Linked DNA regions of Pelodiscus sinensis. The protein of the gene in region 3 interacts with the protein of the main gene of each other region in a biochemical or structural test. Links are inferred from orthologs where the notes say so. Each region holds a gene or a part of one and is shown on either strand. Other genes may lie near its edges. The genes, in order: septin-4-like, HTRA2 and XIAP.

Evidence for each region.
Region 1: the proteins of XIAP (region 3) and septin-4-like form a complex in vitro, tested with the Homo sapiens proteins (4 studies listed by BioGRID, with this or other methods). The link is inferred for Pelodiscus sinensis from reciprocal best matches to the Homo sapiens genes XIAP and SEPTIN4.
Region 2: the proteins of XIAP (region 3) and HTRA2 form a complex in vitro, tested with the Homo sapiens proteins (10 studies listed by BioGRID and IntAct, with this or other methods). The link is inferred for Pelodiscus sinensis from reciprocal best matches to the Homo sapiens genes XIAP and HTRA2.

Annotation. Positions count from the first base shown.
Region 1 is NC_134731.1:15,970,192-15,973,935, forward strand, and holds the start of septin-4-like, read left to right. Parts: upstream 1-1,355; 5' UTR 1,356-1,450; coding exon 1,451-1,522; intron 1,523-2,247; coding exon 2,248-2,568; intron 2,569-2,863; coding exon 2,864-2,957; intron 2,958-3,293; coding exon 3,294-3,380; intron 3,381-3,744. UniProt on the Homo sapiens protein: Filament-forming cytoskeletal GTPase. Pro-apoptotic protein involved in LGR5-positive intestinal stem cell and Paneth cell expansion in the intestines, via its interaction with XIAP. May also play a role in the regulation of cell fate in the intestine.
Region 2 is NW_027465889.1:426,943-430,686, forward strand, and holds the start of HTRA2 (serine protease HTRA2, mitochondrial), read right to left. Parts: upstream 2,672-3,744; coding exon 2,328-2,671; intron 1-2,327. Other genes in the region: lipid droplet-regulating VLDL assembly factor AUP1, read left to right, coding at 3,262-3,311.
Region 3 is NC_134723.1:32,366,426-32,370,169, reverse strand, and holds the start of XIAP (E3 ubiquitin-protein ligase XIAP), read left to right. Parts: upstream 1-1,274; 5' UTR 1,275-1,395; intron 1,396-2,295; exon of another isoform or gene 2,296-2,395; intron 2,396-3,744.

The DNA.
Region 1 (3,744 bases), on a different chromosome or scaffold from region 3:
CGCAGTGCAGATACCCGTCTGTCACACAGGCGTCCGGCGTGCCCAGGGCTGTGCGCAGTGCAGATACCCGTCAGTCACACAGGCGTCCCGCGTGCCCAGGGCCGTGCGCAGTGCAGATACCCGTCTGTCACACAGGCGTCCCACATATCCAGGGCTGTGCGCAGTGCAGATACCCGTCTGTCACACAGGCGTCCCGCATGCCCAGGGCTGTGCGCAGTGCAGATACCCATCTGTCACACAGGCGTCCCGCGTGCCCAGGGCTGTGCGCAGTGCAGATACCCGTCTGTCACACAGGCATCCCGCGTGCCCAGGGCTGTGCGCAGTGTAGATACCCGTCTGTCACACAGGCGTCCCGCTTGTCCAGGGCTGTGCGCAGTGCAGATACCCGTCTGTCACACAGGCGTCCCGCGTGCCCAGGGCTGTGCGCAGTGCAGATACCCGTCTGTCACACAGGCATCCCGCGTGCCCAGGGCTGTGCGCAGGTCAGATACAGGTCTGTCACACAGGCATCCCGCGTGCCCAGGGCTGTGCGCAGTGCAGATACCCGTCTTTCACACAGGAATCCCGCATGCCCAGGGCTGTGCGCAGTGCAGATACCCGTCTGTCACACAGGCGTCTCACGTATCCAGGACTGTGCGCAGTGCAGATACCCGTCTGTCACACAGGCGTCCCATGTATCCAGAGCTGTGCGCAGTGCAGATACCCGTCTGTCACACAGGCGTCCCACGTATCCAGAGCTGTGCGCAGTGCAGATACCCGTCTGTCACACAGGCGTCCCGCATGCCCAGGGCCGTGCGCAGTGCAGATACCCGTCTGTCACACAGGCGTCCCGCATGCCCAGGGCTGTGCGCAGTGCAGATACCCATCTGTCACACAGGCGTCCCGCGTGCCCAGGGCTGTGCGCAGTGCAGATACCCGTCTGTCACACAGGCGTCCCGCGTGCCCAGGGCTGTGCGCAGTGCAGATACCCGTCTGTCACACAGGCGTCCCACGTATCCAGGGCTGTGCGCAGTGCAGATATTCGCATGTCACACAGACCTACCCAGGCTCAGCCCATGGAAACGGGCCATTGAGATGCCCTGGGAGGCTCCTGCCTCTGCTGGACCAGGCCAGGGATGGGAGAGGAGGTATCCAAAGGTGAGAGCTGTGGGGCCTACATCAGCCCTGGCCGGTCTGCGAGCAGGAGGTGGGGGGCTGTCGCGGCTGTAGTGAGGCTGTGAGGGGCTCACTGGCCAGCCAGGCGGTGCTGCCTTCAGGAGCTGGGCAGCTCGGGATGGGGACAGGGGAGGTTCCCACCCAGCAGCCTCCTTCCGCGGCCTTTGAACTTGTCCCTGACTCGATTTCTTCTCCTCTCGCCCCACCCCGCTGCACTCAGGCCGCAGAGCGGGCAGGGGGCGCAGCTGCTCCCAGGGTGTCCGAAGAGCCCCCGCCCTGTGCAGCGCAGCCGGCCATGGGGGAAGGAGGCAGCCCCTGCCTCCCGGAGCGTGCCACGGAGCTGGCCGAGACCCCTGGCGAGCAAGCAGTAAGAGTCTGAGCTGCCGCTGGAGCTGCATGGGAACGTCCCTCCAGCCCAGGCCATCCCACCCCGCTCCCCGGGGACCCCAACGCTGGCCACGGGGGCCCTGAATCCCTGGGGTGCAAGGAAGATCTTTCAGTGTCCTGACTCTCCCCATGCTTTCCTAGGCCTTCTTGGGGCATACGATTATTAACAGCAGCTTCCTTGCACGCCTCACACTAATGCTTCCTACAGGGCTAGCGGTGCACAGAGCCTTCCTTGCACGCCTCGCACTAACGCCTCCTACAGGGTTAGCGGTGCACAGCGCCTTCCTTGCACGCCTTGCACTAACGCCTCCTACAGGGCTAGTGGTGCACAGCGCCTTCCTTGCACGCCTCGCACTAACGCCTCCTACAGGGCTAGCGGTGCACAGCGCCTTCCTTGCACGCCTTGCACTAACGCCTCCTATAGGGCTAGTGGTGCACAGCGCCTTCCTTGCACGCCTTGCACTAATGCCTCCTACAGGGCTAGCAGTGCACAGTGCCTTCCTTGCACGCGTCGCACTAACGACTCCTATGGGGCTAGCCCATGGGGCAACTGCTGAGCTGAATGTAACCTGCAGACGCAGGTAACAAGCCCTGAGCTGGAATGACCAGGCTGCGCGCAGGGGCTGGTTCCGCGGCTCTCGCTCCCTCGTGTCTAACTCTCTAAACCAGCCTGCTCCTCTCTCTGCCCTGCCCCCATCTCTGCAGATCAAGCGCTTCCTGAAGGAAGACTCGGAGGAGGCCGAGCTGGCCCAGTTCCTGAGGGAGTTCCCTTCGGACGAGAGCTTTAGGAGAGCGGAGCCAGAGGAGGGCCAGAGGGCCCCTGGCCAGGGCCACGTGGATCCCAGCGAGGTCCCCAGCGTAGCCCGGCCCGGGGCCAATGAGCTGCTAGACCAGAGGGAGCTGAAGCCCTTCTCCCGGCCTTGGCCCCTGGACTGCCCGCAGCAGCACATCGCGGCTCCGGCACCACTGAGCCCCTCACGGCCCAGGAGCCCCTGGGGCAAGCTGGATCCCTACGACTCCTTGGAGGTACGGTGCACCTGGGGCAGGCCTCTCCGGCCTAGGGAGCCAGGGCTGTGGGGCCTGCCCGTGAGACGCCAGGGCCCCAGGACTCTGCATGAGGACAGGGCTCACCCGAAATCCTGCCGGGGCCGAGTGCGCCCAGCTCCCTGGGAGTTCCAGGAGCGGGCCCGACGCTGAGGCCGGGGACACGAGGCTTTTCCCCTGGGCTCCTGGCCAAGAGCGGCGCTAGCGCGGGGCAGGCCAGCGAGCGCTCTCCCCCCCAGCGGGCGCTCCTCCCGACTCACGCCGCTCTCCCCTGCAGGACGATAAGGAGTACGTGGGGTTCGCGACGCTCCCCAATCAGGTCCACCGGAAGTCGGTGAAGAAGGGCTTTGACTTCACGCTGATGGTGGCAGGTAGGCGCCCTGGCAGGGAGCACTGGGGGAATTCCCAGGGAGAAGAGACCCCAGCAGGGCAGGTCACCCTCGCTCCGTAGGAGCCATGGCAGCCGTGGAGCAGAAGTGCGTCCCATTCCTCTCCCCAGAGGCCCTGGGGTGCCCGGGCTCTAGCCAAGGCCCCGCGGCAGCTGCCTTTGGGGCGGGCTGACGGCAGAAATCCCCGACACTCAGGGTCTCCGGTGCTGCCTTTGTTCCTGGAGCAGCAGGTGCAGATCCTGTCTCCTCGAGGGCCTGGGACAGGGGCCCTCCTGCCTTGCTTGGGAGCTCCGTGACCCCTCTGCTTCTGCTCTCTAGGGGAGTCTGGCCTGGGGAAATCCACCCTGGTGAACAGCCTCTTCCTCACGGACATGTACCGGGACCGCAGACTGCTCAGTGCCGAAGGTGAGAGGAGGGACCACTGCCGGCCTCCCAACTCACGGGACACTAGGACTGGCAGGGACCTCGGGAGTCATCGAATCCAGTCCCCTGCCCTCCCGGCAGGCCTCATCCCTGATCGAGATCCTGTCCCAGCTTGGCGCAGGCGGCAGGGCAGCACCCTGGGGTGTAACCCCCCCCCCGGCCTCTTAGCAAATGACCGTTGTGTGCCTGGGCCCTCTGGTGCTGTTCGTTTGGACGCCTCTGTGGCGTTCAGACCCCTGGGGCCCAGGCTGGCTCCCATGGGGGCTGGGGGAGCTTGCTTTGGCCCAAGGAGCCCTAGCGCTGCGCAGAGGCGGAGGGTTTGGCCCACGGGAGCGTCTGTTGCTCA
Region 2 (3,744 bases), on a different chromosome or scaffold from region 3:
GAGTAGAGGGAAACGTTGAGCAGTCATCAACTATCCAATAAGCAAATGCTAATCAGACAGTCGAGTCGACTAGTCACTCCTCTGCTTGCTGCCTCTATCAGATAGAAGCAGCAGCAAAGGGGAAGGGAAGAGGGGGCACTTTAAAGTGGCAGCGTCGAGGCATTTCAAAGGGGCAGCGCCGCATGGATCCCGTGGTCAGCTGAGGACTCTTGTACATTCCAAAGCTGGCACACTTGGGACCAAGGGGAAGTCCTGCTGGCCCTCGGCTGCATGCAGAGTTCCAACTTTGAAATGCACAAGAGTCCCCACTGGGGCTTTTGTCCATTTCAAAGGAGAAATGCGGAAGTGCCTAAGGACTAGTGGATGGAAATTCCCCTACCACTGTTTAATCAGATAACTAGCTCCCCTTAACATTCAACTGGTTAACTAATTAAGTGGATTTTACATCCTTACTAGAGAGCACCCGACCCAAGAGTGATACACACAAACACAGCAGCAGGGGTTTCTATGCAGCCAATCAAATGACACATACTTAGGGAAACACTTGGGGGTCAGTATGGGTGGGGCGGGGAGGGGAGAGGAGGGGAAGCAGATTTGAAGAATGGGGAAAGTTTCTCTGGAAGAGGAGAGAACAAGGTGAGAGGAGAGATGGTACAAGGGCAGGAAGGGGTAAGTGGCAGGTCAGATTCACAAGGGGCAGTACTGGGAGCAGGTTGAAGCCAGGCGATGCTGCGGGGCGGGGAGAGCAGGTCGGGCAGTAGCTGCCCAGGATCTCCATGTAGACCAGCACTGGGGCAATACTGGGAGGCGGTGGTACCAGCTGGGCCAGGAGGGTCCAGGAGAGCGTGGGGGGTACCTGCCCAGGATCTCGATGTAGACCAGCATGGGGGTTCGGGGGGGGGGGGGGGGGGTACATGCCCAGAACTTCGATGTAGACCACCGCAGGCACGGTACCAGGGGGGTCAGGAGGGGAGTCCCGGGGGTGGGGGTGGTCCCAGGGGACAGGGGAGTTCCAGGGGGGCGGGTACCTGCCCAGGATCTCGATGTAGACCAGCGCGGGGGGGTCCCGGGGGGGCGGGGGGATCCCGGGGGGGCGGGTACCTGCCCAGGATCTCGATGTAGACCAGCGCGGGGGGGTCCCGGGGGGGCGGGGGTGGTCCCGGGGGGGCGGGGGGGGCGGTACCTGCCCAGGATCTTGATGTAGACCAGCACGGGGGGGTCCCGGGGAGGCGGGGGGGTCCCGGGGGGGGCGGTACCTGCCCAGGATCTCGATGTAGACCAGCGTGGGGCGGTCCCGGGGGGGCGGGGGGGTCCCGGGGGGGGCGGTACCTGCCCAGGATCTCGATGTAGACCAGCGTGGGGCGGTCCCGGGGGGGCGGGGGGGTCCCGGGGGGGGCGGTACCTGCCCAGGATCTCGATGTAGACCAGCGCGGAGGAGTTCCGGGGGGGCGGAGGGGGTCCCGGGGGGGGGGGTGGGCGGTACCTGCCCAGGATCTCGATGTAGACCAGCGCGGGAGGGTCCCGGGGGGGCGGGGGGGTCCCGGGGAGGCGGTACCTGCCCAGGATCTCGATGTAGACCAGCATAGGGGTTCGGGGGGGGGTACATGCCCAAAACTTCGATGTAGACCACCGCAGGCGCGGTACCAGGGGGGTCAGGAGGGGAGTCCCGGGGGACAGGGGAGTTCCAGGGGGGCGGGTACTGCCCAGGATCTCGATGTAGACCAGCGCAGGGGGGTCCAGGGGGGGGGCGGTACCTGCCCAGGATCTCGATGTAGACCAGCGCGGGGGGGGTCCCGGGGGGGCGGGGGGGTCCCGGGGGGGGGGGCGGTACCTGCCCAGGATCTCGATGTAGACCAGCGCGGGGGGGGGGTCCCGGGGGGGGGGGGGCGGTACCTGCCCAGGATCTCGATGTAGACCAGCGCGGGGGGGGTCCCGGGGGGGGCGGTACCTGCCCAGGATCTCGATGTAGACCAGCGCGGGGGGGGTCCCGGGGGGGGCGGGGGGGTCCCGGGGGGGGCGGTACCTGCCAAGGATCTCGATGTAGACCAGCGCGGGGGGGTCCGGGGGGGGCGGGGGGGTCCCGGGGGGGGCGGTACCTGCCAAGGATCTCGATGTAGACCAGTGCGGGGGGGGTCCCGGGGGGGCGGGGGGGTCCCGGGGGGGGCGGTACCTGCCAAGGATCTCGATGTAGACCAGTGCGGGGGGGGTCCCGGGGGGGCGGGGGGGTCCCGGGGGGGGCGGTACCTGCCAAGGATCTCGATGTAGACCAGTGCGGGGGGGTCCAGGGGGGCGGGGGGGTTCCGGGGGGGTCCCGGGGGGGGCGGTACCTGCCCAGGATCTCGATGTAGACCAGCGCGGGGGCGGTTTTCTGCACCACGTCGGCGATGAAGTTGAAGGCGGCGCGGGCGGAGCCGGGGCCCGGCGCGGGGGGGGCGGGCGGCGCGGGGGGGGCGGGCACGGCGGCGCGCACCCGGGGCAGCAGCGCGGGCGGCTCCCGGCCCCAGAGCAGCAGCAGCAGCGCCCCCGCCCCCGCCCCCGCCAGCGCCCAGCGGGCCCGGCCCGCGCGAGGGGGCGGCCGCGGCTCCCCCCGGCCCGCGCAGGGAGCGGCCCCCAGGGCCCGGGCCGGCCCCCGCCAGGCCGCGCGCAGCCACAGCGCCCGGGCCGCCGCCATGCTCAGCCGCGCGGGGCAGGCCGGGAGAGGCAGGGAGCCGCGCGGGGCAGGCCGGGAGACGCTGGACGCGCCGCGCGGGGCAGGTCGGGAGAGGCAGGGAGCCGCGCGGGGCAGGCCGGGAGACGCTGGACGCGCCGCGCGGGGCAGGTCGGGAGAGGCAGGGAGCCGCGCGGGGCAGGCCGGGAGACGCTGGACGCGCCGCGCGGGGCAGGCCGGGAGAGGCAGGGAGCCGCGCGGGGCAGGCCGGGAGACGCTGGACGCGCCGCGCGGGGCAGGCCGGGAGAGGCAGGGAGCCGCGCGGGGCAGGCCGGGAGACGCTGGACGCGCCGCGCGGGGCAGGTCGGGAGACGCTGGAAGCGCCGCGCGGGGCAGGCCGGGAGAGGCAGGGAGCCGCGCGGGGCAGGCCGGGAGACGCTGGACGCGCCGCGCGGGGCAGGCCGGGAGAGGCAGGGAGCCGCGCGGGGCATGCCGGGAGGCTCGTTCTGGCGCACGCGGGTTCCCTTTCCCAGAGGGCCCCGCGCGCAGGGCGCCGCCGTGGGTAAGATGGCGGCGGGTCCTGGGCCTCGCTGAGGCGGTGGCTCGGGACCGGGATGGAGCCTCCTCCCGCCTCGAGCCCTGAGCGGCTCTTCGACGCGCACCGGTGAGAGCCTGGGGGGGGCGGGCGGATCGGGGGGGCTCGCTCTCCTGGGGGGGGCGGGAGGATCGGGGGGGCTCGCTCTCCTGGGGGGGGCGGGAGGATCGGGGGGGCTCGCTCTCCTGGGGGGGCGGGCGGATCGGGGGGGGCTCGCTCTCTGGGGGGGGCGGGCGGGCTCGCTCTCTGGGGGGGGCGGGCGGATCGGGGGGGTCTCGCTCTCGGGGGGGGGGGCGGGCGGATCGGGGGGGTCTCGCTCTCCTGGGGGGGGCTGGAGGATCGGGGGGGCTCGCTCTCCTGGGGGGGGCGGGAGGATCGGGGGGGCTCGCTCTCCTGGGGGGGGCGGGCGGATCGGGGGGGGCTCGCTCTCTGGGGGGGGCGGGCGGATCGGGGGGGCTCGCTCTCGGGGGGGGGCGGGCGGATTGGGGGGGTCTCGCTCTCC
Region 3 (3,744 bases):
AAAAGTGGAACTAAGGTCCCTATACCCTAATCATTACTCATACAGGAGTAATCATGGGGAGTGAAGATGACACATGGTAGTAATGGTTTGGGGGATCAGGCAGACCCTAATATTGTACCACACATCAACTTTATTAGGGAGAGCACTCTGCCTCTGTATTCTGTATCCCCAGATTCTTTAGATAATGAAATTAAGAGGATGCAATGCTATAATTTAAATAAGTGGAGGGAGAGAGAAAGTGAGGGCAGAGATGTTTTCAGATGAGATTGGAAGGCAGGAGCTGTGGTGAGAAACTGTTCTCAATGGCAGAGGCTGCAGAGAAGGTTCTTGTGCCAACAGTGGGGAAGATCTGTAAGGGAAAAGGTGCAAGATGAAGGCAGGGAATGGAAATTTGGGGCTGGAGCTTGAGTGCACTGTGACTGTGCTGTCCTGGAGCTGCGAGTACTGATTTGGGCCCATCAGGGCAGGGGCCCTCTCTCCCCATCCCCAGCTGTTTGGTGTTGCGAACAAGGGTGGAGAGGATGTGTGGAAGTGGTTTGGACTCTGGCTCTCTGGCTATGAGGGATGAAGGTCAGAATGGGAGAAGTGGGCCAACCATGCCCAGTACCAGAATCTTACCCATGCAGAGTAGCTGGCAACATCCAGAGCCCTATCCCCAGCTGGCCACTCTCTTATGTACTGGCTTACTTTCACCTCTGCATATACCTAAGATTGATAACCTTGCATGTCTCCTCACTCTTGCATGACTCAAACCCTCTCCCACATGGGCCTTACACTTGCAGTGTTGGTGGGCACACAGCTGCTGTATTACCAACAATTTTGATCTGTTGCCGCTTGTTAAATTGCAGAAGTGAGAACACAGTAGCATCTTTCGCTGGCCCCAGAAACTATTAATCTAAGAGATCCCATGTAGTGCAAAAAATGCGACTCTTTAGCCCCCATGTAAAAAACCCCAAACCCTGCCGCTTAAATTAGTGGGGGGGGGGGGAGGGTGTTTGTTTTTTGGCAACTGCCAAATGCAAATCCTTAAAACATTACCCCCAAAACAGCCAGTGGAGCCAGATACCTGCCAGGTGGTGGTAACCCTCCTCTTCTGTGGTCCCACTGCCCTGCGGAGGGACAGGGGCTTGGCCCGGGACAGGGCAGAGCAGAAGGAGCTGCCAGTTCCCCGAGAGCTGCGCACAGAGCCTCCAGCCTAGCGCGCGCCTGGGCCAGGCCCTCACCTGATCCCGCCCCCACCTCCAGGGACCTGCGCGGCCCTTCCCGCCGCTAGGTGTCGCCGCCGCCAACGGGACCCAGCGTCCGCCCTCGGCCGCCGGCGGACAGGAGGCTGCGAGCGCCATCTTCTCGCGGGCTTCCTCCGGCGCGCGGGGCCCACGGCGCGGAGCCAGGGCGGTGAGTGACAACGCGGGCGCGGGCCGCTGCCGCTCGCTCGCCCTGAGGGCAGGGGACGAGGCTGCCTGGCCGGCCGGCTGCAGCGGGGGGGGTCTCTGGGCTCCCCTCTCGGGCATTAGCAGGGGCGGGCGGGACCGTCCTTCTCCTGGGCGGCGGAGAGGCGGGGGCGTTACTCTCCCCCCCCCCCCATCGCCGAGCTCCCCAGCCCCTCCTCAGCAGCGCCCGCCCGGGGGAGGGACACGGACTCTGATCCCCTCCCCTCGGTCAGAGGGGCTCCCCCCTGCAGGCGGCAGCGATTCTCATTTCACCTGCTGCCAGCGCAGCTTTCATTGCTTAGATCCCCCTTTGGGGGGGTTACCTCCAAGATCCACCCGCATCCTGTAATGTGTCGTAATAAGGAAACACGCGTGTTCACTGAAAGGGCCCCCAGATCTCAGCGCTTGACCTGATTCATGGGCAGCCCCTCACACTCTGCGTGTGGCCCTCCGGGCGTCCTGTTACCTTGAGAAAGTGGACCCATCCTAGCTAAGGCTTAGTCGCTTTTACTTCCCCCATTTCCGACTGTGGCGTGTGTCTCACCTACGGCTTTGCTGCATTAACTGGTATATAATGTAATGAATGGCATTTGTCCACACGTATGGAGTACAACGGATATAGATCTTTGCAATTTGCAAAATGTGCCTCAAACTTTAATTCAAACAGTTCTTAAGTTCTTTGCATTTAAACCCACTTTATTCCACTAGAACCTGTCCCCGGGCCCTAGGTTCCTCACCCCTGCTTTAAGACAGTGTCTGAACGAACTCCTCTGCTGTGGTTGGCCAAGGTCCACCACTACATAAGCACAGAAGAAAAACAGTCCTATCCAGTATGTGTCTGTCTTCTGCCCATTTTACTTTTTAGTCTGCCAAGAAACAGAAATTGAAAGCCCACAACTTTCAAGAAGCCAGAATGAGTAGTTAAGCTGGACGGACTAGAGCCATTAATTCAATTTTCTGAGACTGTAAGTGCATGTTTAGCATGTTTTGTCATGAGATTTAATTGTAACTTGTTTTTAAAAGAGAGAGTCAGTATTTTATTGGTTTAAAAATAGAAGATGTGATTTAAATCAAATCCAGTTTAAATTTAAAACTTTTTTTTTATTTAATAAATTATTGATTTTTATCCACCCTGGGAATAACCTTTAAAACATTTTCAATATATTTGTTCCTCTCCATTCATCTAACAAACTTGTTGCACTATAGCATTTGAAGTACATATATCTTTATGCTGACTCCTTCAAGAAGCCATTTATAGAACCAAGTACAGTAAAATGTTTTAAGAAAGTTATTTTATATCTGGATTTGATTTTGTCAGTGAAGCTAATGTGGCCACTGAGGAGAGATTGAAATGCCACCTAGCTGATTAGCTGAATGCCCACAGCTAGGCTTTTTTTCCTGTTCATTTACTGGTGATGCATGTTCACATGTGCCTTGATGCAATTTTTTTTTTCTATACAGTATAAGGCTGGAAAAAATCCTCACATAGATGAAAAAGATGAGGGAACATTGGATGGGAGGCAAAAACATGGGGATGGAAAATATTACTCATTTTCAAAAGTGAAGGGAAATTCCAGGATCTGTTAGTGACCTTTCCTGTTGCATTCATCAACAAAATACATTTAGCCTAAGGGGTGATTTGTGGATAGAGTTTGTGACTTCTTGAAGGTTAACAGAACTGGGAATAGATTGTGTTGGCTGAGGTTACAGACTGTTATGGTGTCTATAAGACCAGAGTTTCTCAATATGTGGCTTGCAACTCAAAGGTATATCACCATCCAAGCAAGACCAGGGCTGGCTAGACGTGGCTTCCCGTTTCAGGCTTTGTAACCCGGCTCATAGGCTAGCAGTGTCACTGTGGTTTGGCTCAGTTACCCCTCTGTCATGTACTCTTCTCCCACAACTATGAGATTCTCCTACTGTCTTACCTCCTGTCATGGACCCCGACTCCTGAACTTCCCTCTTCACCCCACTTAGCCTCTGTGTGTAGAGGCTGTGTGGTTTTTTTGGGAGCTGTCAGCTTGCCGTCTCTCCCCTAAACTTCTATGTTCCATATCCTTCCCACTGAAACCTCAAACTCCTTTGCCCTTGGGATGTAAGTACCGATCAAAATAGTTAACCAGTTAAGCAATTAAAATTACATTCTTTAGCTGGTTAACCATTGTTGAGCGCAAAGCAACTATGGTGGGAGGGTCTTACCGGGCATAGTGGGGCCACATCCAGGGCTATGCAGAGAAGCTCCGGGCCATGGCTGCCATGGCATGGGTGCGTTCCTCCAGCGCTACTGTGACGTGGGCAAAGTTTCCTCCTGCCC